7 linked regions of the Macaca fascicularis genome follow. The protein of the gene in region 1 interacts with the protein of each later gene in a pairwise test. Links are inferred from orthologs where the notes say so. Each region holds a gene or a part of one and is shown in the gene's direction. Other genes may lie near its edges. The genes, in order: DAXX, BTBD6, FAM9B, PARK7, TCF7L2, MX1 and ETS1.

What was found.
Region 2: the proteins of DAXX (region 1) and BTBD6 interact in a two-hybrid assay, tested with the Homo sapiens proteins (2 studies listed by BioGRID and IntAct). The link is inferred for Macaca fascicularis from reciprocal best matches to the Homo sapiens genes DAXX and BTBD6.
Region 3: the proteins of DAXX (region 1) and FAM9B interact in binary tests that used the Homo sapiens proteins (3 or more experiments, as listed by UniProt). The two-hybrid records come from large-scale screens. The link is inferred for Macaca fascicularis from reciprocal best matches to the Homo sapiens genes DAXX and FAM9B.
Region 4: the proteins of DAXX (region 1) and PARK7 interact in binary tests that used the Homo sapiens proteins (3 or more experiments, as listed by UniProt). The link is inferred for Macaca fascicularis from reciprocal best matches to the Homo sapiens genes DAXX and PARK7.
Region 5: the proteins of DAXX (region 1) and TCF7L2 interact in binary tests that used the Homo sapiens proteins (3 or more experiments, as listed by UniProt). The link is inferred for Macaca fascicularis from reciprocal best matches to the Homo sapiens genes DAXX and TCF7L2.
Region 6: the proteins of DAXX (region 1) and MX1 interact in a two-hybrid assay, tested with the Homo sapiens proteins (2 studies listed by BioGRID). The link is inferred for Macaca fascicularis from reciprocal best matches to the Homo sapiens genes DAXX and MX1.
Region 7: the proteins of DAXX (region 1) and ETS1 interact in binary tests that used the Homo sapiens proteins (3 or more experiments, as listed by UniProt). The link is inferred for Macaca fascicularis from reciprocal best matches to the Homo sapiens genes DAXX and ETS1.

What each region holds. Positions count from the first base shown.
Region 1 is NC_088378.1:138,379,598-138,383,706, forward strand, and holds the start of DAXX (death domain-associated protein 6), read left to right. Parts: upstream 1-1,309; 5' UTR 1,310-1,354; coding exon 1,355-1,407; intron 1,408-2,275; exon of another isoform or gene 2,276-2,328; coding exon of another isoform or gene 2,329-2,345; coding exon 2,346-2,535; intron 2,536-2,685; coding exon 2,686-3,517; intron 3,518-3,661; coding exon 3,662-3,870; intron 3,871-4,025; coding exon 4,026-4,109. UniProt on the Homo sapiens protein: Transcription corepressor known to repress transcriptional potential of several sumoylated transcription factors. Down-regulates basal and activated transcription.
Region 2 is NC_088381.1:173,422,452-173,426,730, forward strand, and holds BTBD6 (BTB/POZ domain-containing protein 6), read left to right. Parts: upstream 1-1,479; 5' UTR 1,480-1,658; coding exon 1,659-2,032; intron 2,033-2,103; coding exon 2,104-2,194; intron 2,195-2,301; coding exon 2,302-2,420; intron 2,421-2,583; coding exon 2,584-3,616; 3' UTR 3,617-4,016; downstream 4,017-4,279. UniProt on the Homo sapiens protein: Adapter protein for the cul3 E3 ubiquitin-protein ligase complex. Involved in late neuronal development and muscle formation.
Region 3 is NC_088395.1:8,685,657-8,689,627, reverse strand, and holds the start of FAM9B (protein FAM9B), read left to right. Parts: upstream 1-1,171; 5' UTR 1,172-1,456; intron 1,457-2,213; 5' UTR 2,214-2,302; coding exon 2,303-2,330; intron 2,331-2,832; coding exon 2,833-2,953; intron 2,954-3,132; coding exon 3,133-3,164; intron 3,165-3,971. UniProt on the Homo sapiens protein: May play a role in meiosis.
Region 4 is NC_088375.1:226,909,073-226,912,572, reverse strand, and holds part of PARK7 (Parkinson disease protein 7), read left to right. Parts: intron 1-1,788; coding exon 1,789-1,890; intron 1,891-3,500. UniProt on the Homo sapiens protein: Multifunctional protein with controversial molecular function which plays an important role in cell protection against oxidative stress and cell death acting as oxidative stress sensor and redox-sensitive chaperone and protease.
Region 5 is NC_088383.1:122,188,876-122,192,375, forward strand, and holds part of TCF7L2 (transcription factor 7-like 2), read left to right. Parts: intron 1-1,678; coding exon 1,679-1,781; intron 1,782-3,500. UniProt on the Homo sapiens protein: Participates in the Wnt signaling pathway and modulates MYC expression by binding to its promoter in a sequence-specific manner. Acts as a repressor in the absence of CTNNB1, and as activator in its presence.
Region 6 is NC_088377.1:5,550,138-5,552,592, reverse strand, and holds the end of MX1 (interferon-induced GTP-binding protein Mx1), read left to right. Parts: intron 1-1,263; coding exon 1,264-1,494; 3' UTR 1,495-1,955; downstream 1,956-2,455.
Region 7 is NC_088388.1:127,004,279-127,007,778, reverse strand, and holds part of ETS1 (protein C-ets-1), read left to right. Parts: intron 1-1,359; coding exon 1,360-1,437; intron 1,438-2,424; coding exon 2,425-2,673; intron 2,674-3,500. UniProt on the Homo sapiens protein: Transcription factor. Directly controls the expression of cytokine and chemokine genes in a wide variety of different cellular contexts. May control the differentiation, survival and proliferation of lymphoid cells.

The sequences.
Region 1 (4,109 bases):
ATCCCTTACATCTCCCAAGTTCCAGTCCTCGCGGAGGTTTTTTATGTTCCCCATTTTGAAAGCTGTAGACTTTGACGACTGGAGAGAAGTGATGTGGGATTGTTCAATGGACGGGTGTTTGCGATTCTATGACTCAGCGTTAGGGATGTAGTAAATTCTGTGAACCTAGTTAAGCGGCAAGATGCCCACCACTTGTGGAAATGGGAATCTTTGCGATTGGGACCTTGTTAATCTTTCTGGTTTCCTCATAAGCTCACCTCTGGACCCAGCCTTGCCTCCACGACTCCCTCCAACCTCCCTAAACTCAACGAGGTGGGTATCAAGTCTGTTTCTTCATCCTTCATTCTTTTTTAACCTCTCCCAGAAGAGGAGGAGGAAACCCAAAGTATTTTATGAGCCTCATTTCGTTTCACAGCAGCCCTTGCAGAGGCTCAAACTCTCCTCCAAGCCCCACCCCATCATCGCCCATCCGCAGACCCTGGGCCTCCACGACAAAGCACGGCCTCACAGTCAGCACCGACGGCCCTTCGAGGACCCCCTCTGGAGGAGAACCATTCAGGTCCCAACCGTCTGGTCATTAGTTCTGTGGTGAAGCTTGAAAAGCAAATCAGCAACAATAGTAATAATAATAACACTTTTGTATGGCGCATTGTGCTTATTTGTACGCATGTGTTATAACGACTGTGGGACGCAGCACCTGGCAGTAGAAGCAGCTGCTGGACAGCGGCAAGGAGCGCGCCGCCCTTGCAGGGGAAGGGGCTGGGTCAGCCGAATAAGCCGTGGAAATGGGAACCTGGGGGACAGGAAAGCAGGGCCAGATAGCTTGCCAATAGCCTAGTTGAAGATAAAGGTTTTACTTCCCTTTTAAGAGACTTCTGCCATTCCCTGAAACCCTACGCAGCTTTGGAAAGCCCAATTCCTAAACCACCCTGTTCGGTTCCCCTGCCCCTCCTTGGAAAGGAGGCTCCGTTCTCCCCACGCGCTACTCGCCGGCGGTTGGACCCCAGGGAGGAAGTTTCTGATTGGCGGAGTCAGAGAAGCACCGGGTGAAAAGAGCTCCTCCGGCTGCGCACCGAAGTTCTGGCGTAGCCAGCGCCGTACGGCAAAATGGCGGCCCCCAGCTGCTTTGGGACGCCCGGGTTCGGGGAGACAAACTCCGACCTGGAAGACCGCGCTGACTATGTGGGCGGCACTGGAGGTGTTCGCGGGGCGGGCCTACGGCCGCTTCCGGCCACAGGAAGCCTTGTTCCGTACGACAATATGGCGGCGCTTAGTTGCATGCAGGCGGAAACTCTGTTGCTTCCGGTCCGTAGTGGGGCCTGCGGTGGGAGTGGGAAGGAAGGCGGAGGGAACCATGCGAGGTTCTGAGATCTGCGGCGAGGGTCGCCTCGAGAGACGGTTTCTGAGGTGGGGGCCGGATGGTGCGGGGATCAGAGGCGGGGGCGGGGATATCGAGGCAGAGGTATTGGGGAGAGCCGGGCTCTGAGTCTGAGGGGAAAACTGTGGTACCTTCCTATCCCTGAAAGGGAGTGGGGCGGCCGGGGGCTGAACTGGGGGAGGGGGATTTGGCGGGAAGCGCATCTACCGGACCGGCCGGACCCAGGGTTGGGATCTAAGAGGAATCGGGAGAGCGTAGCGCGGTGCGGGGGGACTTCTAATTAGTTACAGGTCTCCGAGAGAATGGGGAAAATTAGGGTGGGGTGAAAGGGAGGGGACTTGGGTAAAATATCTTCAACCTAAAGGCCCAGTTTGAGGAGACTCATCTGAGGGTGAAATACGGAGATAATTCAAGGAGGGGAAAAGAGAACGGACTGTTGGGAGGGAACCTCTTTCACCTCAGAGAGTCTAGGAGTTGGGGTGATCAGGATGGGGCGGGTGTGGGGTTGACTTGTTTGAGGGCAGAGGGGGCAAACACATGAGGTGGCGCCCACAGGAGTGTGTTGTCTGTGCCAGGGGGTGTCAGGACGATTTAGGGTGCAGTGTGGGAGAAAGAACCAACTTGCCAACTCTGAGAAAGAGTGGGGAAATGCAACAGAAAGACCGGAAATCGACGTGAGGGGTGGAGCAGAAGGTGGCAACTTAAGGTGTGGGGGGGTTTGCCCCCCCCACACACCACTTGAAGGGCCCGAAAAGCATATAGAACTAATGGTTATTGAAATCAGGTGGTGAAGACAGTGTTGGTCAGGGCTGAAACCCAAGGAGTTCAGAAAATGCGTGAGGTGAAGGGATGGGGCTATGCTGGAGGGGCTCATTCTGAGGCCCCATCCCCTTCCAGCAGGAATTCTGAAATCCCCACCACTTCCTCCTTCCGGGGGATTTGATTCCCCCATGGCCACCGCTAACAGCATCATTGTGCTGGATGATGATGACGAAGATGAAGCAGCTGCTCAGCCAGGGCCCTCCCACCCACTCCCCAGTACAGCCTCACCAGGGGCAGAAGCCCCTAGCTCTTCTGAGCCTCATGGGGCCAGAGGAAGCAGTAGTTCGGGCGGCAAGAAGTGCTACAAGCTGGAGAATGAGAAGCTGTTCCAAGAGGTGAGCTTTAGCGGGGAAGATCGTTGTACCCCAGGGAGGGGGATGGCTGACTGGCTCTCCTGTCCTTTCTTCCCCACTAACCCCACTCCCCTTTCTCTCAACCCCCTCCCTTGTCTCTCTTCCCCTTCCTTCTTCCCCTGAACCTTCTAGTTCCTTGAACTTTGTAAGACGCAGACAGCGGACCACCCTGAGGTGGTCCCATTCCTCTCTAACCGGCAGCAACGTGCCCACTCTCTGTTTTTGGCCTCGGCGGAGTTCTGCAACATCCTCTCTCGGGTCCTATCTCGGGCCCAGAGCCGGCCATCTAAGCTCTATGTCTACATCAATGAGCTCTGCACTGTTCTCAAGGCCCACTCAGCCAAAAAGAAGCTGAACTTGGCCCCTGCTGCCACCACGTCCAATGAGCCCTCTGGGAATAACCCTCCCACACACCTCTCCTTGGACCCCACAAACGCTGAAAACACTGCCTCTCAGGCCCCAAGGACCCGTGGTTCCCGGCGGCAGATCCAGCGCTTGGAGCAGCTGCTGGCGCTCTATGTGGCAGAGATCCGGCGGCTGCAGGAAAAGGAGTTGGATCTCTCAGAATTGGATGACCCAGACTCCACATACCTGCAGGAGGCACGGTTGAAGCGTAAGCTGATCCGCCTCTTTGGGCGACTATGTGAGCTGAAAGACTGCTCTTCACTGACCGGCCGTGTCATAGAGCAGCGCATCACCTACCGTGGCACCCGCTACCCAGAGGTTAACAGGCGCATTGAGCGGCTCATCAACAAGCCAGGGCCTGATACCTTCCCTGACTATGGGGATGTGCTTCGGGCAGTAGAGAAGGCAGCTGCCCGACACAGCCTTGGCCTCCCCCGACAGCAGCTCCAGCTCATGGCTCAGGATGCCTTCCGAGATGTGGGCATCAGGTTACAGGAACGACGTCACCTCGATCTCATCTACAACTTTGGCTGCCACCTCACAGATGACTATAGGCCAGGTAGGGGGTTAGTGGGATGCCTCTCAGTGACCCTTATATGTCAGGTATGAGGCGGATGGGGCATCTCTCTAGTCCTTTCTAGGGTTTGTACTCTTCTAGTCCCTTCCACGGCTGAGTGCTCTGACTTTATATTTTCCCACGTAGGCATTGACCCTGCACTATCAGATCCTGTGTTGGCCCGGCGCCTTCGGGAAAACCGGAGTTTGGCCATGAGTCGGCTGGATGAGGTCATCTCCAAATATGCAATGTTGCAAGACAAAAGTGAGGAGGGCGAGAGAAAAAAGAGAAGAGCTCGGCTCCAAGGCACCTCTTCCCACTCTGAAGACACCCCCGCCTCCTTGGATTCTGGTGAGGTGTGGATGGGGTAAAGCCTTCAGAGAGACATTGTCCTTCCCCTGCACTGGCCACCAGGGAGTCCAGGTTGACTGATGGGGGAGCATGAGAAGGAATGCAAGAACCAAACCCTCTAGGGCAAGGGATTCCTTAGAGAAACTTCTTTGTCCCCCAGGGCCCTAGTGGAATGGCATCCCAGGGGTGCCCTTCTGCCTCCAAAGCTGAGACAGATGACGAAGAAGATGAAGAGAGTGATGAG
Region 2 (4,279 bases), on another chromosome or scaffold:
ACCTTTTCCTATGGAAATAGATGGCTGGGACAGAAACCATGGCCACAGCAGCCAGTGCGTCTTTGCCAGTGTGGTCCCACACTATGAAATCGCAGCTGTGGCCTCTCTGGGTGTGTCCTTGGTAGGTGCATCCACACACTTTCTCTTGGGACTTTCTGGACCCTCATGCATGTGCTACGGCTTTCCAAAGGGCTTGGCCCTGCTTGGCCCTGCGGAGTTACACGCCCACCTGCAGCAGGTGACCTCTAGCTGCTCCGTGTTCCACCAACACTGGCGTGACAAGTCTCAAGTTCAGCCGCCTGGGGGCTCAGGAGCCCCATTCCCAGGCGAAATGATGATGTGTGCACTCTGGGTCATTGCATAGTGTCTGTTCACGTCCTTTGCCCGTTTTTTAAAAAACCTGGATTGTCAGCCTTTTCCTTCCTGACTTGTAGTCGCTCATTAATCCTGGAGAGTCTTTTGTTGAAAATACGGCAAATATCTTCCGAAGGGGACTCTTACTACAGGGAACATTTACTACAACTGTAACGACCAGAGACACAGAGCTCCTATTCACTGTTCCGCCCAGGACTGCTGTGATGGGTGCACCCATGACCCGAGCTGCTGGCTGCGTCCTGGGGGCTTTCCTATATATGGGAGTTTTGAAAGTCTGAAGCCTGGAGGTCCAGAAGGTTGCATGTGTGTCCTCGGGGAGGAACTCTCCTGACAGCCAGGACTCTGGAGCTTCGTCTGCACGCGAGCTTGGCGTGCACCGGCTGTGCAGACCAAGCCAGGTGACACAGTCTCTGGAGTCTGGTCTCCACATCGGCAAAGCCAGTGCCCACTGTCACGCACCTCCCAAGATTAGCTCCAGGCTGGGAGGCTAGAGGCCCCATAGGGAACGAGCCTGCGACTGTGATCCACAGGCAGAGCCACAGAGGCAGGGCGCGCCCTGGGGCCCAAGCTCCAAGGCTGCAGGCCTGGAGCCAGATCCTGACTTGCCCAACCGCCCGCTGTGTGACCTTCAGCACGCGACTAACCTCTCTGTGCCCATTTCCTCGAGGAAAATGCGAGGAAATAGCAGCTCCTGCCCGTGAAAGCCCTCAGAGCAGAGTGGACCGCGCTCTCCGCGAGCGTTTGCTGCTGGCGTCTGCAGTAAGCTAACTCACTAGGCATCCGAACCAACGAGGAAGCCCTACGACCATCCGACAAGCCTCGGCCAGAGGCACAGACTCCGGAATGCAAACGGCCAACAAGCAGGTCCACCTGCGTTCCTAACCAAAAGATCACTAACTAAAGAACGGGCGCAAGCACCTGCGCATGGCACTGCGGGTCTGGGGGCAGCCGCCTGCCAGAGCCGGGAGCCGCCTTCCACGGTGACCTCTGCACAGTGCGCGTCTTCCGCCGGTTGCAGCGCACGGAAACTCCAGCAGCTCCCAGGCTGTCGGGCCTGGGGGCGGGGCCGCGCAGCAGCGTCGTCGCGCGGGGCGCGGCCCTGACGCAGCGTGACGCGCCGGCGCCGCGGCGGGTACAGGCTCAGGCGGGCGGGACGGCGCCCCCTGCGGCCGGGCCTGGCCGGGCTGCGCTAGGCTGGGCTCGGGCAGGGTCGCAGGGTCGCAGGGGCGGGGGTGGCAAGGGAGCGGGTGGCAACCCCGCGGGTCGCAGCGCCGCCGCCGCCCATGCTGCTGCCCCTGGCCTGCCTGCATGGCCGCGTTGCTCAGTGCCTGACCTCCCTGCTTTTGCTTGCAGAGCCGCTCCCAAGGCCCCGGCGCGGTGCGAGGGCGCGGGGCGCGGCGTCCACAGGCGCCGAGGCCACCCCCGCCGCCCCGCCCGCGAAGATGGCGGCGGAGCTCTACGCCCCCGCCAGCGCCGCGGCCGCGGACCTCGCCAACAGCAACGCCGGTGCCGCCGTGGGCAGGAAGGCCGGGCCGCGCAGCCCGCCCAGCGCCCCCGCGCCCGCGCCCCCGCCGCCCGCGCCCGCGCCCCCCACACTCGGCAACAACCACCCGGAAAGCCCCGGCTGGCGGTGCTGCCGCCCCACGCTGCGCGAGAGGTGAGCCCGCCCCCCGCGGCCCGCGCACCCGCGCGCGCCCGCGCCCCCAGCCCGTGCCTCTGCCTTTGCAGGAACGCGCTCATGTTTAACAACGAGCTCATGGCCGACGTGCACTTCGTCGTGGGGCCCCCGGGGGCGACCAGGACGGTGCCCGCCCACAAGGTGGGTAGCGGCGACCCCTCCCCTCTCGGAAGGCGTGCCCCGCCTGCCGTGTGGCTGCCCGCAGCCCGCGGGACAGCCAGGCTCACGGCGGCGCTTTCTCCTCCCAGTACGTCCTGGCTGTCGGAAGCTCCGTCTTCTATGCCATGTTCTACGGGGACCTGGCGGAAGTCAAATCTGAAATTCACATTCCCGACGTGGAGCCCGCAGCCTTTCTGATCCTGTTAAAGTAAGTCCACTCTGTACTGGGGAAGGACGGGTGGTTCCGTTCTAGGCGGCCTCCCGTGGCTTCTGAGGGGGAGCACACAGGAGCTGATGGACGACTCTCCCAGGCCCAGCCCCGCAATAGGTGCTTGGGAGCCAGCCCCTGACGCGGGCCTTGCCTCGCCTAGGTACATGTACAGTGATGAGATCGATCTGGAAGCTGACACGGTGCTGGCCACTCTCTACGCTGCTAAGAAGTACATCGTCCCAGCATTGGCAAAAGCTTGTGTCAACTTTCTGGAGACAAGTTTGGAAGCCAAGAACGCCTGTGTCTTGCTGTCCCAGAGCCGGCTGTTTGAGGAGCCTGAGCTGACGCAGCGCTGCTGGGAGGTCATCGATGCACAGGCCGAGATGGCCCTACGGTCCGAAGGCTTCTGTGAGATAGACCGGCAGACGCTGGAGATTATTGTCACTCGGGAGGCCCTCAACACCAAGGAGGCAGTGGTCTTCGAGGCCGTCCTGAACTGGGCCGAGGCAGAGTGCAAGAGGCAGGGGCTGCCAGTCACCCCACGAAACAAGAGGCATGTTTTGGGGCGAGCCCTCTATCTGGTTCGAATTCCAACCATGACCCTAGAGGAGTTTGCCAATGGCGCTGCCCAGTCAGACATCCTGACTCTGGAGGAGACCCACAGCATCTTCCTGTGGTACACGGCCACCAACAAGCCCCGCCTGGACTTCCCCCTGACCAAGAGGAAGGGCCTCGCCCCGCAGAGGTGCCACCGATTCCAGTCTTCTGCCTACCGCAGCAACCAGTGGCGGTACCGCGGGCGCTGTGACAGCATCCAGTTTGCAGTGGACAGAAGGGTATTTATTGCAGGGCTGGGCCTGTATGGGTCCAGCTCTGGGAAGGCTGAGTACAGCGTGAAGATTGAGCTCAAGCGGCTCGGGGTGGTTCTGGCTCAGAACCTGACCAAGTTCATGTCAGACGGATCCAGTAACACCTTCCCGGTCTGGTTTGAACACCCGGTCCAGGTTGAACAAGACACCTTCTACACGGCCAGTGCCGTCCTGGATGGCAGCGAACTCAGCTACTTTGGGCAGGAGGGGATGACGGAAGTGCAGTGCGGAAAGGTGGCCTTCCAGTTCCAGTGCTCCTCGGATAGCACCAACGGGACTGGGGTCCAGGGTGGGCAGATCCCTGAGCTCATCTTCTACGCCTGAGGTGCCCGGGGAGGCTGCAGCAGATCGGCAAGTGAGCGGAGCGGAAGTCAATGTACTAACTGCTCTTAGCCTTGTCTCTCTCTGACATGTAGTCAGCTGAAACTTGATTGTGTAAAGTAGAGGCCTTTTCCACACAGCCAGAGCCTGGGGATTGGAGTCATAGGCATCTCTGGTACACTGGGGTGCACATCTCAGGTGGAGGAAGATTGAGGGCACAAGGCAGGCCCCAGATCCCCTCCCAGTGGCACCCACGCCACCTGCTTTGAGGGGTTGGATGTTCCTGCCACCTCTTGGATTCTAAGTGGTTCCAAGCTTAACTTGAGACCTTCCCTTCAAATCTAAAATCGGCAAAAAGTCACTTAAAATAGTGGACTTCTGTAATAAAGGTTGCCTAAAATAACACTCGTGTGTCAGTAAATGACTACAGTTGTACAGTGGGGTATTCTCTTTCTCATGCAACAGAACAGCTCCCATCCCGAGGAGAAAAGCTGTCATGCTGAACATGCTACGTGGTCTGGAGCAAACTGCACCCCAGTGAAGCCCATCCGTCCCCTGGGTCGCTGGCTGGCTTCCGGGCCACCCTGGGAAACACCAGGTGCCTAGTTGTCTCTATGTCCTAATGCATCACTAGCACCTCAGAGTCCTACCCTATGAACGGACTGT
Region 3 (3,971 bases), on another chromosome or scaffold:
TCTCTGGAGTATTTTCTTTATTTTCCAACTTTTACTACAGGATTTGTGTTCTTTGTGTGTGCTCTTTTTGGTTATATAGACATTTAAGGCTGTGGATTAGTTTTCCTGATGACTGCCTTTGTAATTTCTTTTCTTTTCTTTTTTTTTGAGGTGGAGTCTCGCTCTGTCGCCAGGGTTTCACCGTGTTAGTCAGGATGGTCTCGATCTCCTGACCTTGTGATCTGCCCGTCTCAGCCTCCCAAAGTGCTGGGATATAATTTCAATAATATAATGAAACTCTATATCTTGATTTACAAACTTTAGGCAATATTTATTTACTCCTAACTCCAAAACAACTCTCCCCCTATTATAGGCGACTGGAGGTGGGAAAAAGCTGAGTTAACGATAAGTATTAAGGCATTAATTTGTGGGTGAAGGTTGTGGCATATGTCTGGATAAGTCTGGAGCATGAGGGTTTGTGGGCAAGTCTGGGGCATGAGGATGAGAAAGAAAAGTAGTGAGGAAACAAAAATGGTTATGGGCAGGGCACGGTGGCTCATGCCTGTAATCCTAGCACTTTGGGAGGCCAAGGCGTGCAGATCAACTGAGGTCAGGAGTTTGACACCAGCCTGGACAACATGGTGAAACCTCGTCTCTACTAAAAAAAAAAAAAAAATTAGCAGGGCTTGGTGTTGGGCTCCTGTAATTCCAGCTCCTTGGGAGGCTGAGGCAGGAGAATCACTTGAACCCGGGAAGCGGAGGTTGCAGTGAGCTGAGATCACCCTGCTGCACTCCAGCCTAGGCGATAGAGTGAGACACAGTCTCAAAAACAAACAAAAACAATAAAAGCACAATCCATTGATTGAAAAGGATGCAGCTGGGCATGTTGGAAGCACACAGGGCATGGGAGGGAGCCTGGGCCCAACCCATAGGATGATGGCCATTCTAGCCAAAGGGGCAGGGGTGGCTGGAAAGAGCCCCAGGGCGAGGTTCTAGGCCCTGTCCACTTGGCCTCCATACCAAGTCCTGTGTCCCTCCCCAGGAGCAGAAGCTGAAAGAATGTGGGAACAGAGGCCCCAAAGGGCCAACCCCACCTCAGTCCACAGCAACCACTTGCTGTCACTTAGGGGAAGGGGGAGGGCGTGCCAGCAGGGGGCGTGGCCCCACACGGCCTGTCACACGCATGTGCACTGAGTCGACCAATCTGCGAGGAGCGTAGGAAGTGCTGTCGGCAGCTCTCACGAGAACTGAGTACTTGTTTTCTTTTTTGTTTTTTGTTTTTTGTTTTTTGAGACAGTCTGGCTCTTGCCGCCCAGGCTGCAGTGCAGCCGCGCGATCTGGGCTCACTGCAACTTCCGCCTCCCGGGGTCAAGCAATCATTCTGCCTCAGCCTCCTGAGAGGACCCGTTTTCTAAGAGATCCTAGTGGTGCTGTTGTCTGCAGGTTCTTTGAGGGCGCCACATCAGGGGTCCCTCAGGTGAAGCGCTCGCGGTGGGGAGGCGGAAACGCAGGCACGAGGCCCTCTGGGAACCAGGGTGTGAAGCGCTGGGCCGCCCGCTGACCTGTGAGGAAATGCCCCTGGCGTGGTCGCCTGGGGCCTGGGTCAGGGCGAGGCCCTGAGGGTGGGCTGGGGTGGGCCAGGGCAGGGAGGGAGCTGGAGCCGCCTGGGTGATCCCTAGGGCCCAGGAGGGCTTGTGCATGTGTTGGGGGGAGGTGCGGAAGGTGGGGGGAAGTGGGGGTGGGGCGAGGGTGTTGTTGGGGACAGTCTGAGTGGGGCCCTCCTGCCCGGCCTCCCGTCAGGACAGGACACTTGGGGTCATCAGGGGTCCCCTGTGCATCCAGGCGGGTGAGTGACAGTGCAGCCCCTGACATTCCTCTGGAGGTGGCTGGGGAGATCCTGTGTCACCCGGTGGCCCTCCCAGCCACACGGGGTCGCTGGGGGACCCAGAGGTAGGGCTGAGTTCTGTCCCAAAGGTGCGGCGAGGATCCCGCAGACGCCGTGGAGTTCAGGTGTGAGGGGCAGCTGTGAGCTCTGCAGCCAGCCCCGGGGACGGGCTGGACGGGCTGGACGGGCCAGGACAGGAGGGGACACTGGCATCTTTTCGGTCCCCTCCTGCTCCCACAGGAGGCCCAGGGCGTGCCAGCCCCACCCTTCTTAAACCTGTGATCCCAATGGCTTTCCTTTCCGATGCCAGGGTTCCTTTGCTTCCTTAGTGTGCCTTTGCCCTCATCAGGTTCAGGGATCACCTGTAGCTTCCCAGGACAGCCAGCCACGGATCCTGTGGGCAGGAGGGCTGCCAAGGCCCAGTTGGAGGCTCAATTTATGGCGGCCCAGGGGAAGGAGCGTGCAGGTAAATACAGCCCAAGGTGACCCGGAAGAAAGTGCACGCCCAAGAGGACGGTCTGTCTGCTTTCTGCGCTGGGGGCACAGGGGTAGCCCAAGGACCCGGGCCCCTTCGTGGCTTTGGAGTCCATCGTGCACGTGCTAAGATGCCCCAGGTTTTCAAAGCAGGCTCAAGGGCCTTAGGCTTCCCGTAAAAGGCTCCCCTCATAGCGGGGTTACAGATGCTCCCAGAGCAGCTCTTCTCCATGAGTGCAGTCATGACATCCAAGGGGTCTGACGTGTAGTACGTTGTTTACTGGGACTTGAACCCGAAGGGCTTCCAAAAGTGCCTTGATAAAATGGTCAGAAGCCGGTGATTCCATGTACAGCTCTGCTTTAAAGCCTTAATTGGCAGATAGCCAAAAAAAAAAAAAAAAAAAAAAAGTCTACAACTAGTACATTTCTCCACAAAAAAAGTCCACAACAGTGTCTTCCTCTAAAAAAGGTTTGTCTTTTAAATTTTAATGCAGGAAAGGATCCAGTCAGTGACGAATGTGAGGAAAGAAACCCTTTTACAGAAACAAGGGAGGAAGATGTAACTGATGAGCATGGGGAAAGAGAACCTTTTGCTGAAAAAGACGAGCACACGGGGTAAAGTGTTTAAGTCACTTTTGCCTGTCGGATAGGGTCTTTTAGGAAAAGTCACCTTTGGACCATGTCATCACTGTTCTATTCTGTGCAGAACATTTCACATAAGACATTTCTTTTCCCAACAAACATGGCATTTTGTGTAGTATTATGCTAAAATTTTGATGTAACTTTTTTTACAGGGCTAATACCAAGAAGCCAGAAGATACTGCAGGTATATTTTAGGAGTTATCTGTCGTTTATGAAAATTGTTTTCAATCATGCAACTGTTGCAGTAAGTTATATGAATCAGTGGATGACAAGACTGTCTTAAATGGCTTATCATATGTAGCATTTAACATACGTATTTAATGTAATCTGTTTGATAAATTTTTCTTACCTCTTTGATTGTTGATGTGGAATGTGAGAATGCTTCTAATAATGGTGAAGCGAGATGGATGGCTTTTCTTTCATACACGTGGAAATTTAATTGTTTGGAGAATATTAGAGGACATTGGAGGAGAAATAGCTCTATTCGTTCCTTTTAGTGTACGCAGATTAAGTCATATATCAGGTTTTTTTTAAGCTTTCACTTTAAGTTTGGGGGTACATGTGCAGGTGTGTTATATAGATAAATTGCATGTCACAGGGTTTTGGTATACAGATTATTTTGTCACCCAGGTTATAAGCATAGTACCTGATGGGTGGTTTTTGATCCTCACCCTCCTCCTACCCTCCACTCTCAAGTAGGCCCAGTTGTCTGTTGGTCCCTTCTTCCTGTCCATATGTACTCAGAGTTTTTAATAAGAGTTTTTCATGTTCTTAATTTAGCTATTCTATTGTCACAGCTTTCTGATTTTGTTTTATTTGAAGTACAAGAGAAAATTGAATTCTCTAAAATCATTTTCTATTATTATTCCAGTAATAAACTGTGTAGTACAAAAGTAAGGACAACTTTTCTATCTAGTGAGAAACATGTAATTGGATCCAAAAACTCATAAACTTTATATTGCTGTGTGAAATATTAGTTGCACTGTTATAG
Region 4 (3,500 bases), on another chromosome or scaffold:
TACAGGTGTCTGCCACCACACCCAGCTAATTTTTGTATTTTTAGTACAGATGGGGTTTCACCATGTTGACCATGTTGGTCTCGAACTCCTGGCTTCAAGTGACCCGCCTGCCTCAGCATTTTACAGTGCCATGATTACAGGCGTGAGCCACCATGCCCGGCCCCTCAGACTCATTTCTTAAGGAACAAATGCTTCGAAGAAATACAGTTGAAGCCTCCTTTGTAAATTTCTCCAGTCCCATGCCCCTTCTTCCTTGCTTAAAGAAAACTGCTGTCCTCGCAATCTTGTGTATCCATGCATGCATGTCTTTTTTTTTTTTTTTCTTGAGACAGAATCTCGCTCTGTCACCCAGGCTGGAGTGCAGTGGTGCGACCTTGGCTCACTGCAGCCTCTGCCTCCTGGGTTCAAGCAGTTCTCTGCCTCAGCCTCCCAAGTAGCTGGGATTACAGGCGTGCGCCACCATGCCTGGCTAATTTTTTGTATTTTTAATAGACGGGGTTTCACCATCTTGGCCAGGCTGGTCTTGAACTCTTGATCTCATGATCCACCCGCCTCGGCCTCCCAAAATGCTGTGATTACAGGTGTGAGCTACCGCACCTGCCTTTAAGGTAGTGTTTGACCGTGGTTCTCATTTTGCATGTTTATATATTCTCTCTCTCTCTCTCTAACAATAGTGAACACTGAAGTAGAACTAACTCTGTGCCAGGCATCATTCTAAGTGCTGATAAACCTTACAACAACCCTGTGAGTTAGATACCGTCATCCTCATTTTATGGTTGAAGAAACTGAGGTACAGAGACATTAAATAATGTACCCATGTCACACAGTAAGTCCAAAAGCCGGAGCTCAGACCCAGGCAGCCTGGCCCCAGAGTCTGTTAACCCTATACTCCTCTGGTTCTCAGAAATGAAGACATTATGTCGATTTAGTTTATTCATTTAAAATTGCTGCCTGATGTTGCACTGAATGCCACAATCTACCCATTCCTCTAATTACAGCATTACAATTCTGTAATAAGTATTCTTGTGTCGGTTTCCTTGTGCAAATGTGTGGAAGTTTTTTGAGGTTATATATCTAAAAGTAGAATTACTAGGCCGAAGGACTGCCCATAGTCAGCATGACTAGGTTTTGCCAAGTTGCTCTCCAGTGTCCCAGTTTGTAGTCCCACCAGCAATGTAGGAAAATTCCCACTTTCCCAGTGCCAGCTCTTGGTATTGTTGACTTTAAAAATTTTTGAAAGATAAAGCAGTATTTCATTGTTTTGACTTGCATTTCTATTTTACAAAAATACCATGAGGTTTAAATGGCAACAGTAAACTTGCAAGGTGAGTTATTAACAGGATGATCATATAACTGGTCACCCAAATCAGAACGTTTGTGGGAGAAAGGATGTCCAGTCACACAGGACAGGGCAGCAGCTATAAGTAGAGTCTGTCCAGGCAAACCAGGGCAGACCTAGTTATTAAGTATATTTAGCCAATGTATTAGTTCACATTTGATATAGTTGTGGTGCAGTATTTCCTACCATGTTACTTTCAAACAGGGCAGCTGTGTAAATGTTACTGTAGCTGGGTGTGGTGGCTCATGTCTGTAATCACAGCTACTTGGGAGGCTGAAGCAGGAGGATCGTTTAAGCGCAGGAGCTGGAGGCTGCAGTGAGCTATGATTGTGTTACTGCCCTCTAGCCCAGGTGACAGGGTGAGACCCCATCTCTATTTTTTTTTAAAGACAGTGTTAGTCTGAATTTATGTTTCAGTGTTCTTAACTATGATAACATCTTTCTTGTAGATTAAGGTCACCGTTGCAGGTCTGGCTGGAAAAGACCCAGTACAGTGTAGCCGTGATGTGGTCATTTGTCCTGATGCCAGTCTTGAAGATGCAAAAAAAGAGGTTTGTAATCCATACATGGAGGTATTCCTTCATACGGCTTCTTTGTTTCTTGAAATGTCTAAGACTGTTGTTAGCACAGACTCATTTTAGAAAATGATTTTGCTTGAATGTCTTCCCCTGACAGATTAAGAGGGTGAGGACTTTGTCTTTCTATTCTGTATCCATAGAATGTGGCAATTGCTTGCTACTGAATGTGCTCAGTAGGTGGGTGGCTGGGTAGATAGGTGGCCGGTTGGACGTGTGGCGAGATGGTTGAGTTGGTGCTTAGTTGGATGGCTGCATCGTTCTCCCATCAGTATTCTTCCGGCTTACACAGGTATCTTTGCCTCCTATTACACATTTTTACCTGCTATAAATCAACTGCCACATTTTCCATTCTTTTTTTTTCTTTTTTAGAGGCATGATCCCGCTCTGTCCCCTAGGCTGGAGTCCAGTGGTACAGTCACAGCTCACTGCAGCCTCAACCTCCCAGGTTCAAGCAATCCTCCCACCTCAACCCCCCAAGTAGCTGGGAATACAGGCATGTGCCATGCCCGGCCATTATTCTTTTTTCTAAAGATACTTTCAGAGTTCCACTTTAGTTGTGTTCCTTTTTCAGTATCTTTAGAATTATGACTCTTACGTTTAAGGACTATGGACACTTCTGGAAGCTAGCATCCCTTTCCTCAGAAACATGCTCCCCCACAGGCGCTTTTGCAGACTCCATCGTCAGGCAGGGTGACAGGAGTGTGGACTGTACCCTCTGACAGCAGAGTCATGGCGGGAAAGGAGGCAGAGTTGGCTCACGAATGGCTGGTTGTGCACTGCTGAGGAACCTGGAGTGCGATTCCCTGTGCTGTCCTCAGATACATAGGAAGAAGTTTAATCCTTTCTAATAAGTTCAGATTTTTCATTACTGGATTGTAGAAAATTAGACTGTTGGTATTTACATATGATTTGTTGAAACAAATTAAAAATGACAAGCAGAAGTAAATATTCCAGGCCAAGTGCAGTGGCTCACCTGTAATCCCAGCACTTTAGGAGGCCAAAGTGGGAGGATCACTTGGGGCCAGGAGTTTGAGACCACCCCGGGCAAGATAGTGAGACCCTTTCTCTGCAAATTAAAAATGTTAAAAGCCAGGCATGGTGGTGCACGCCTGTAGTTCTAGCTACTCAAGAGGCTGAGGCAAGAGGATCACTTGGGCTCAGACGATTGCTCGAGCCCAGGAATTTGAGACTGCAGCGAACTGTGGTTGTGCCATTGCCCTCAGCCTGGGTGACAGAGCAAGACCATGTCTCAAAAATAATAATAATAATTTTTTTTTCATTTCTGTTTGTGTTTGTGTCATATGGTGTCTGGCCATTTTAAAACAGTGATTACCTTTATTTTCAATCGACAGATAATAAGTGTACATATTCATGGGATGCGTGATGTTTCCGTGCATAATATATAGTGATTGGATCAGAGTAATTAGCATATCCATCATCTCAAACATTTCTTTGTGTTGGGAACGTTCAATATCCTCCTAACTATTTGAAGCTGTGATTATTAACTACAGTCATCCTACAGGGGTATAGAACACCAGAACCTATTCCTCCTATCTAGCTATAATTTTGTATCTTTTAACAAA
Region 5 (3,500 bases), on another chromosome or scaffold:
ACCACACCCAACTCAGCAGCCCCTTTTTATCCCAGTCGTTCATTGACTGCTTTTTTCCCAAAGGGGAGAAGGAGAGAAGGTGGGGTTACTTTTAGTTCTCCTTCAACAAGATCTAAATCAGGCAGGCAGCCCCAGCTCCTGGTGGGGTGGTCTTGGGAGAACAGGTAAGCTTAGTGTGTGTCTTTCAGGCTACCCAGTATGTTGGTAGGAGTTTCCCTTCCCAGCTCAGTAATTGGAAGGATGGGTTTAAGTTGGTGATCACGCATCACTTCGTTAGAGGGGATTGGTAGTGCTGGGGTAGGTAGAGGGGATTGGTAGTGCTGGGGTAGGTAGGCTGCCTGGTTAGGCGGCCTTCACTGCCCCTGAAAGAAGCCACACATGAGCTGGGTTTTACTGGTCTCTGAGCCCCTTTGTGCTGGTGCAGGACTGAGCCTGGTGCTTGGATGCCTGGCCGCCTCCTCCAGCCGGCCCCAGGCTCCACCAGTGAATGGCAGCGTCAACGTCTCATTTAAATAATGGTAGTACAGGGAATAGCTTTTAAATGGTTATCGTAAAACATATGATTAACGTCTGTGGACTGTTTACTTTTCCTCTGCGAACATTCTTTCAAGTGTGCAAATGGCTCAGTGTAGGGTCCAAGCCCAGCTAATCTGTTTGGTTTTTGTAATAGAGAGAAAGCAATGTCTGCATGAAAATGTCACCCAGGGAGACTTAATTTACAGATTAAAAGCTTCCTGAATGAATTTTTTAAAAAATGAAGTCGTTTTCATCCACGAACATGCAGTCTGTTCCCTCCTTTACTCTGTTTTAATTCTGTGGTATTGTGCCTTTTGCCTCCCACTTCAACGGCACAGATCAGTTCTTCTCTGTCAGAGTCGACTGTAGAATGTGCTCCTGTGGAACTGGCAGGCATGCGGCGGCACGTACTTGCAGAATCCCCTCACGTGTGCCTTGTGAAGCTCTTAGCCCCTGCAACGCACAAGGTGCCCATTCAGCAGATGGGCTTACTCCCCACAGGTGACTCTGTCCCCTAGCGGATGAAGTTCCAGAATGGAGTACACAAGCCTCCAACACCTCCTTGTCTGTTCAGCTCTGGTTCTACCTTGGATAGGATGCCACATGGCATTTGATCAGTTTCTCCAGCTCATCCAAATAGAGGCGGAGACATTTTAGAGGAGTCACCATTTTTGAAAAAAAGCAAGGGTAGTAACCTTTTGAAGGCCACAGCTCAAAAAGTCTGTTAGAAATCAGAGGAGTAACTTTCGTGCAGGTAAGGCATGAAACTCCGCAGGGTGAAGGGCCCATGTTGTAAGAGCAACAGGGATTACCATTGCTTCATTCCCCACCAGCTGCCGAGCCTTTTTGAGGTTGTTTCTTTTAAACTTGAAACAATCACACCAGTCACGTGAGGCAGAAAGACCCAAGATGGCATATATCTGAGTCTACCCACTATCCCAGTCCATTTAGAAGGAGATAAACTAATTTTTCAAACTGAGGCTAAGGGAAAATGAGATGAAACCTACCAACAACTCTTAGGATTTGTAATCACAAATGAACCTTGTGTTAGGATTCCAGAAGAGATGCCTCTCTTCCTCCTCTTTCCCTGTTCCCATCCCCTAACGAGTTGCTCTTTCCCTCTCTCCCTCCTTTGTACCTAAAATGCTGCTTCTTCCCTCAGGAATCCCACGGCCTCCGCACCCTCCAGATATATCCCCGTATTACCCGCTATCGCCTGGCACCGTAGGACAAATCCCCCATCCGCTAGGATGGTTAGTACCACAGTAAGGAGTTCCATTTTTTAATTTCCTTTTTGTTTCTTACACGGGCATGCTTATTATTTATTCTGTACGTGTGTGTGTGTGTGTATGTGTGTGTTAGAAGCCAGGGTTGGGGAGGGGGCTGTGGGAGGGCACAGGAAAGGTGTTGCTGAGGTGTCCTGGCAAATCCATAGCCATTCAGATGGATTCTGTAGGAAAAGAGTTATTGGCACTTAGCATTTCGAGACCATGGTCCCCAAAGTCTCTGTGGACAGAGGTGCCCTGAAGATCCTTTGGGAATTGCAGAAGACTCCTGGGACTTCCACCCAATGAAGCTGATCATGGCCTTTCTGCTGTTGGCTTCCCAAACTGCAATCATGTCATTGGGTTGAGGCTGCCGAGTCCTCCCTTTTAGGTGTTACATATTTGAGGCCACGGAAGCGGGAACAAGAACTGCCTTGTTTTGAAATCCGGGGTTGGGATTAGGGCATGTTCTCGTATGATTCCAGGACACCCCACCTCATGCTGAGCATTAGTCCCAAGTTGACAACAGCAGTGGAAAGTTTTGTCTGTTGAGAAGCTCCTTGGGACTGAATCAGCATCTCTCTGAGAGTCTTTGCACGTGAATGACTGTGAACAGTGGGAATGGGGCAGTTGGAACTGTCATTGCAGCATGTGGGGCCTTCACAAGCATCAGTCCTAGTTCCTGGCAGTGCCAGATTATTTGACTGTCTTTTGCAACTTAAAAAAACTGTGTTTTAAATTCAGAGTAGAAAGGCCTTTGATGCATTAGCATACTGTGGCGGGTTGTGTGTATGTGTGTTTTTGCATGAGCACGTGTGTAATATGTGTTTCGTGGTTGTTTCTTTGGATATATTTCTCCTTGTTTGTCAGTGATCTGAACAACACAGGACAATACATTGAATGCTAAAAGGAATAAATCCTGGTAAAACTCAGGTTTGAGTCTTATGGAAGACGGCCTTACAAAGCCTTAAGGAAGATAACATTTTGGAGTGGCTTACCCCACAATTCTACCTGTATTTTTTTTTTTTTTTTGGTTTGTTTGTTTTTTTTAAAAAAAAAACAGATTGCATTATGTAGTAGCTATACCAAATACCAACCCCGGGTGTAGTTTCTGTTTCTTTGTCTCGCCTTATTTTTATTGGGAGGGTAGACAGGAACATGAGCTTGTGACCCATTTCTTCTAAATAGATGGGGCCAACCCTCAAATAGTTCTCAGTGATCATTTGCCCCATTCAGCTGATGGGGAGATATTTGAAGGCTAGATAAAAAGGAATAGCCAACTCAGACAACCCTCTGTCAGAAAAAGTTGTGTGTCTTTCATGAGGATGCTATTTTGCATGTTGCTGTATTTTTTAATTATTGTAATGAGGTGTGATTGTCTATTGGTTACCCACAATTCTTCTTGGGGACTCTCCCCCCGGTAACTCTTGTCAACACTTGTTAATTTGACAAAAGGCTACAAATTAAGCTCTGTTAATTTAATGTTTTCTCACCGAGATCTAAATACCGAAAGAGGCCCAAAGCGCAACTGAAGTCCTTTGATTCACTGTACTTTATTTTGGTATAAATTTACATTCATTATTGTTTTCCTTTGGATGTGTAGCCCTCAATTAGTGTGATGGCTCCATTAAAGCAAGCGAGACTTCGCCTTTAATTATTACAACAAAACACCTAGTTTCAGCTTGGGGAGAGGGTCTCTATTGACATAAGCAGAGGTTA
Region 6 (2,455 bases), on another chromosome or scaffold:
CTGTCAAGCAGCTTTTCTCCCTCTGTGTCTCCTGTTCGTTGGTGTTAGATGTGATTTTGGTATATGAGCTTTAGATGTATCAATGCCATACCTCACACCCGTCCTGACTCTTACTGTTTGTAGCAGTTTTGCAGCTGATTCTCCTCGGTTCTCCTGGTGAGTACTCACACCGTCTGCCCCTGTCTGGGGCTCCAGCATTGCCCTGAATGCCTGCCTTCAGCCTGGTGCTGTCTCCTTTCCCCCATTTCCAGGTGGTGACCGCCCCGCCTCTCGGTCACTCTGGTCACAGAACATGGATCGGGAGTTCCGCCTCAGTCTCACCAGTACGAAGTGCTTATTACATGCCTGGCATCTTTCTAAACTTGCATCTTTCTAAAATTTCATCTTTTAACTCCTTTAATACTTTTAATCACCCCATGAGACCAGTGCCTCACATTAGCCCTGTTTTATAGAGAAGATACCAGAACCTTGCTGAGGGACCAGTACACTGCAACTTCCTGAGATCCACCCATCCTGGGAAAGAAGAAAGTTTTGCTAATAGGTGGGACTTTGGGGAGGGAGAAAGGAAGTGGTAGAAACTGTCTACATGCAGGTAACTCAGGCAGCTCCATTCCGTGGCATTTGAAAGCCCAATGTTTTTTTCTACTGAGTCACTTGAGTGTTGATTAAAAATAAGCAGCAGCCTTCAAATCTCTTTGGCAGACTTGTAAATAATTTGGAAATGCAGTTTTTTTTTCTTTCTTTTTTAAATTTTTTTGAGATAGAGTCTTGCTCTGTCGCCCAGACTGGAGTGCAGTGGCGCAATCTTGGCCTCCGGGGTTCAAGTGATTCTCCTGCCTCAGCCTCCCGAGTAGCTGGAACTACAGGCACGTGCCACCACACCTGGCTAGTTTTTGTATTTTTAATAGAGAGGCGGTTTCACCACATTGACCAGGCTGGTCTGGAAATGCAGTTTTTGCACTGTCTGCCTGCTTACCTTTATAGAGCATATTTTGCCCCCTTCCATCAGAGGTACCCATTTAATGGTCAGGAAAAGCTGGTGGGAATATGACTCATAGCTGGGACATTCTCTGCACTGTGCATTGTTCCTCTTTGCCACCACCATGGAGGAGATTGGTGGGTTTGAAACCCAGGGAAAGGTCCTTGCCTCGCGAGGGTGTCCCTCATTGAGAATCTGGATCCGCTGATGTGCACATGGTGAAGTCAGAGTCCCTTCCTCACAGTGTCCCCTCCACCCTCCCATGAACTGTTCTTTCCTTCCAGGAGGCCAGCAAGCGCATCTCCAGCCACATCCCTTTGATCATCCAGTTCTTCATGCTCCAGACGTATGGCCAGCAGCTTCAGAAGGCCATGCTGCAGCTCCTGCAGGACAAGGACACCTATAGCTGGCTCCTGAAGGAGCGGAGCGACACCAGCGACAAGCGGAAGTTCCTGAAGGAGAGACTTGCACGGCTGACGCAAGCTCGGCGCCGGCTCGCCCAGTTCCCTGGCTAACCACGCTCTGTCCAGCCCTGTAGAGGTACACTCACACCGTCTGCCCCTGTTCCCAGGTAACCACTGAACAGACTACTTGAGTGCTCAGTAGTCAGACTTGATAGTCACAGTCTCTGCTTATCCATTAGCCCATGGCAATTTAGCAAGAAGCTGTGAGAGCAGTTTGGTTTCCAGCATGAAGACAAAGCCCCACCCTCAGATGCACATGAGCTGGTGGGGATGAAGGATGCTGTCTTTGTACTGGGAAAGGGATTTTCAGCCCTCAGAATTGCTCCGCCTGGCAGCTCTTCCCCTTCTCTGTATTCTTAGGAGCTGACATGGGCTGAGCATCACAGAAGCTTATTTCCTGGTGTTTGTAATGTCCCTACACCAATCCAGTGTTTTAGGAGCATGAGTGCCATGTGTGTCAGTCCTGTCAGAGCCCTGTCTCCTCCGTTTGTAATAAACTTATTTCTAGTGGACACGGCTCTGCCATGTTTTGTATTTTGGGGAGAAGCCTGAAACTAGCAGGTAGGACGCAATGGAGCAGTCGGCGCTAAAGCTGCCCTCCATGGCGGGGCCAGGTAGGAGCGAGCAAAAGAACAGGGTCTGATGATTTCCTACAGACTGGAGGGAAATGGGGGAGCACACTTTAAAAAAAATGAAACAATATGAAGCCAGCGGTGCTAACTGTTAATAATGTGCATTGATCAAGTGTCCAATTTGTTGAGTCACTGGGTACCTAGCATGGAGTTGAAAAGCACAAGGTCCAGTCAAGAAGAGGTTGCCAGGCCAGGTGCGGTGGCTCACGCTGTAATCCCAGCACTTTGGGAGGCCAAGAGTTCAGGACTAGCCTGACCAATATGGTGAAACCCCGTCTGTACTAAAAATCCAAAAATTAGCTGGGTGTGGTGGCATGTGTCTATAGTCCCAGCTACTCGGGAGGCGGAGACAGGAGAATTGCTTGAACCCAGGAGGTGGA
Region 7 (3,500 bases), on another chromosome or scaffold:
ACATTGGGATTACAGGTGTGAGCCACCATGCCTGGCCTCAATATATTTTTATTTAACTTAAAATTTAACATCCCATCCTGTGCTTTTTGTATAATAATGTGGACTCACAGGGGCCTTTTGGCCCCTAAGACTGGTTTAGCCTCGCTTAGGGTAAAGGAAGAATGTAAGAAAATTTAAGAGAATTAGGATATAAGTTAGTATGTTTGAGAGCAAAAGCCTTATCATCCCACCCAATATTCTGTTGAGAGAGGCAGAAAGAATTCTCCCTCTTCAGGTTCAGTTACTTGACGAGATGAGCATGATGTTTGTGCTGAGACTACAGCTTTTGTTCTGTAACTAAACTAAAGCAACACAGCACCAAAAAAACATAGCTGTTTGGGGTGGGGTGGAAGGCCAGAGGTACGGGGATGTTTCAATCTGATAAACTGCTAAAGCAAAGTTTAATCATTTTATCTCAACTGGGAACTGTTTTTTCTGTGCAGGCATAAACTTGTTTTCTCATCAGACTTTGCTCCTAACAAGCTATCAAATACCTGAGGAAAAACCCAAACCCATACTCTCTTTATGTCAGATTCTTACGGTGAAATATAATCAGACTACTCCATACAAGAATTGGAGGCCATGGCATTTGTTCCAGGGTAATTAGAGGATCCCAGGCTCACTGCAGTGTTGTGCAGAGCTTTCTGTCCGCAGGTGCACTTTGTCTCCCTTCCTCTCCTTTTCCTAGGGGAGTTGGCATCTGGGCAGGAGCTTGGTTGGGTTGCTCTTCTCTCCCTTTATACAAGCCCAGTCACATTTCACCAAATGGAGTCACCTTACCAGTGTCCTGCTTCTTGTCTGGGCCTGAACTTGAAACCTGAGGGCAATGGGAAAAATACAAAACAAAAACCAGACATCTGTTAGAGGAAATGGAGAACATAAAATCTACTGCCTGAAGACTGCCATATATTTTTGAAAAGTTTTGAAATTGACCAGTTTGGGGGTTGGGGATTGATCCTGCTAACCTGTGATGTACTCAAGCCTTTGGCTCTAGTGTGGTCGACATACACGCAGTACGAATTCATTGAGAATGAATGCTGAATGCCTTCTCAGCCCTTAGAGATTACTCATGGATTCTCTTTCCAAGATACTAAATCCCATTTTGCAGCTACTGAAATAATAACTTTAGTCATATTTTTTTGATCTCATGTTTAGACAAGGTCACAGTCAGGATAGACTCAGATACCAACTCAGTTAATGAGTATGCAGATTTCTTAGAAAAGGGGTTGAGATCATTGTGTCTTTGCATCCAAGATCCTTTTAGGCCAAGCATGACTTGAATATTGACCTCGTTGTTCATTCCCTATCTGTTCATTACAGAGGATGTGAAACCATATCAAGTTAATGGAGTCAACCCAACCTATCCAGAATCCCGCTATACCTCGGATTACTTCATTAGTAAGTTCATTTCTACTCCTTTATAGGAAACTAGGAAAAGACCCCTATCTCCGTCGATCTCAGGCTTCTTCATAGTAATTCTATCAAAAATAATATCTTCTTAGATGTAGACTCTTCTTTGTTACTTTCTTTTATTATTTTCCACAAAGCACCAAGTTTCAACCTATATACATGTTTCATTAACCTACCAAGTTCCTACACACTAAGATCCTTCTCTGATACCTTCAACCTGAAAGTCATGCAGAGAGACTGCAACTGGACCCCCTAAACTTTTGTTCTGATTTGGTACTGTTCACTATGATGGCCAAAAGAGGGTTGGGTTAGGAATTTGATCTTGGCCTTTGTTGTTTCCTTTTTACTAGTGGAGATGACAGCATTTCCTCTAAAATCCTTCTTTAAGAGTGTGCTATGCAGCTTCAAATTCTATTAGAGGAAATACAGCCTTCTCCTTTTTCGCGTAAGATACCCCACCATACTGAAAGATAGCCTGAGGGAAAGAATGGCTGTAGGCCTGTTGCACTAATGTAAGCTCTGAGATATAGGAGCATCTTATCTGATGGCTCTGCTTTTAAAGGGAATATTAAACAGGTTTTATTTTTTAATTTTATCTTTTTACGTGATTACAATTTTTATTCCAGTAACACAATGATGTTAACTACCCTGTGTCAAGAGCTTATTGTGTGGGGAATGTTGTGGGCATTTTACCTATATCCTCATTTCATCTTCATTGCAGTGCTCCGGGAAAGATCGCAATCTCCCCCATTTTATAGATGAGAATGTGAAGTCAGGAAGTCAATTATCTTGTCAAGGGCCATAGCTATTTAGTAGTGGACAAGGTTAAAAACCCAAGCCTTTCTGATTTAAAGTATTTTCCCTTTATTCTCTAAGGAGCTTGTTCCACGTCATACGGCCTCTGTAGGCGGTGAAAAACTGCTTTTTTTAAGTACAAATCTCTCCTCTCTTTAATTGCAAACCCTTTGTTTCCAGGCTATGGTATCGAGCATGCCCAGTGTGTTCCACCATCCGAGTTCTCAGAGCCCAGCTTCATCACAGAGTCCTATCAGACGCTCCATCCCATCAGCTCGGAAGAGCTCCTCTCCCTCAAGTATGAGAACGACTACCCCTCAGTCATTCTCCGGGACCCTCTCCAGACAGACACCTTGCAGAACGACTACTTTGCTATCAAACAAGAAGTCGTCACCCCAGACAACATGTGCATGGGGAGAGCCAGTCGTGGTAGGTCATACTTCTTCTCTAAAAGCTCTTGGGTTTACAAGAATTACCTGACTCTGTGAGTGTTTTCAGGTTCCATTTTTTTTTTCTCATTTATTAGACATGTAGATTCCTCAGTTTCAGCCTTCCCATCTTAGAGTGTCCAGATGCTAAGAACTTTCCATCGTGGTGTTTTAGCCAAGTCCATTATTGTGGCAAAGGCCATGGGGTCCACAGTGAAATCAGAATCAGGCAATCTAAGAAATTAAATGTCTTACTTGGGCAAAATGTTTCCCTCAGTTAATAACTCTGGTTGAATTTGGTCACTTTGAAAGGTATGCTCTATTTTCCTTGAGGAGGACATAATCAAATAAAAATGGTTCAAGTGACCACCCTGGAAAACCCTTGAGCTTAGCATGTGTCCTGGTGCTCCTCCCAGAGGACTCCTGGGTCTGACCGTAGATCCTGGCTTGGTACCTGGAATGACCTCTGCTGGCCAGCCTGGGATCTTTAGCCTCCTGTGACTTTTTTGGTTTGGGAAGACACAAGATGGTTAACCAACGGTTTGTTTGGAACCAGTCATCAGCAGTGTGGTGAAAGTGTGTATTTAGCTAGAGGACCAGGGAAGGAGGTGGCCAGGGGTTTCCAAAAGAAGGTAGTTTTGTTAACATGACTATTATAATAATGATAAAATGTTCACTGTCAGTGAAGAAAATGTTTCAAAATAGAGCTGGTTGTCATAGAGCAAAAAAGGTAAAATGCACCCAATCTTTAGGAACAGGACATAAACACTCAGAGATACAACCTACCTAGTAAAGTGTCCAAATTGTTTTGTTTCTGAGAAAAATGCA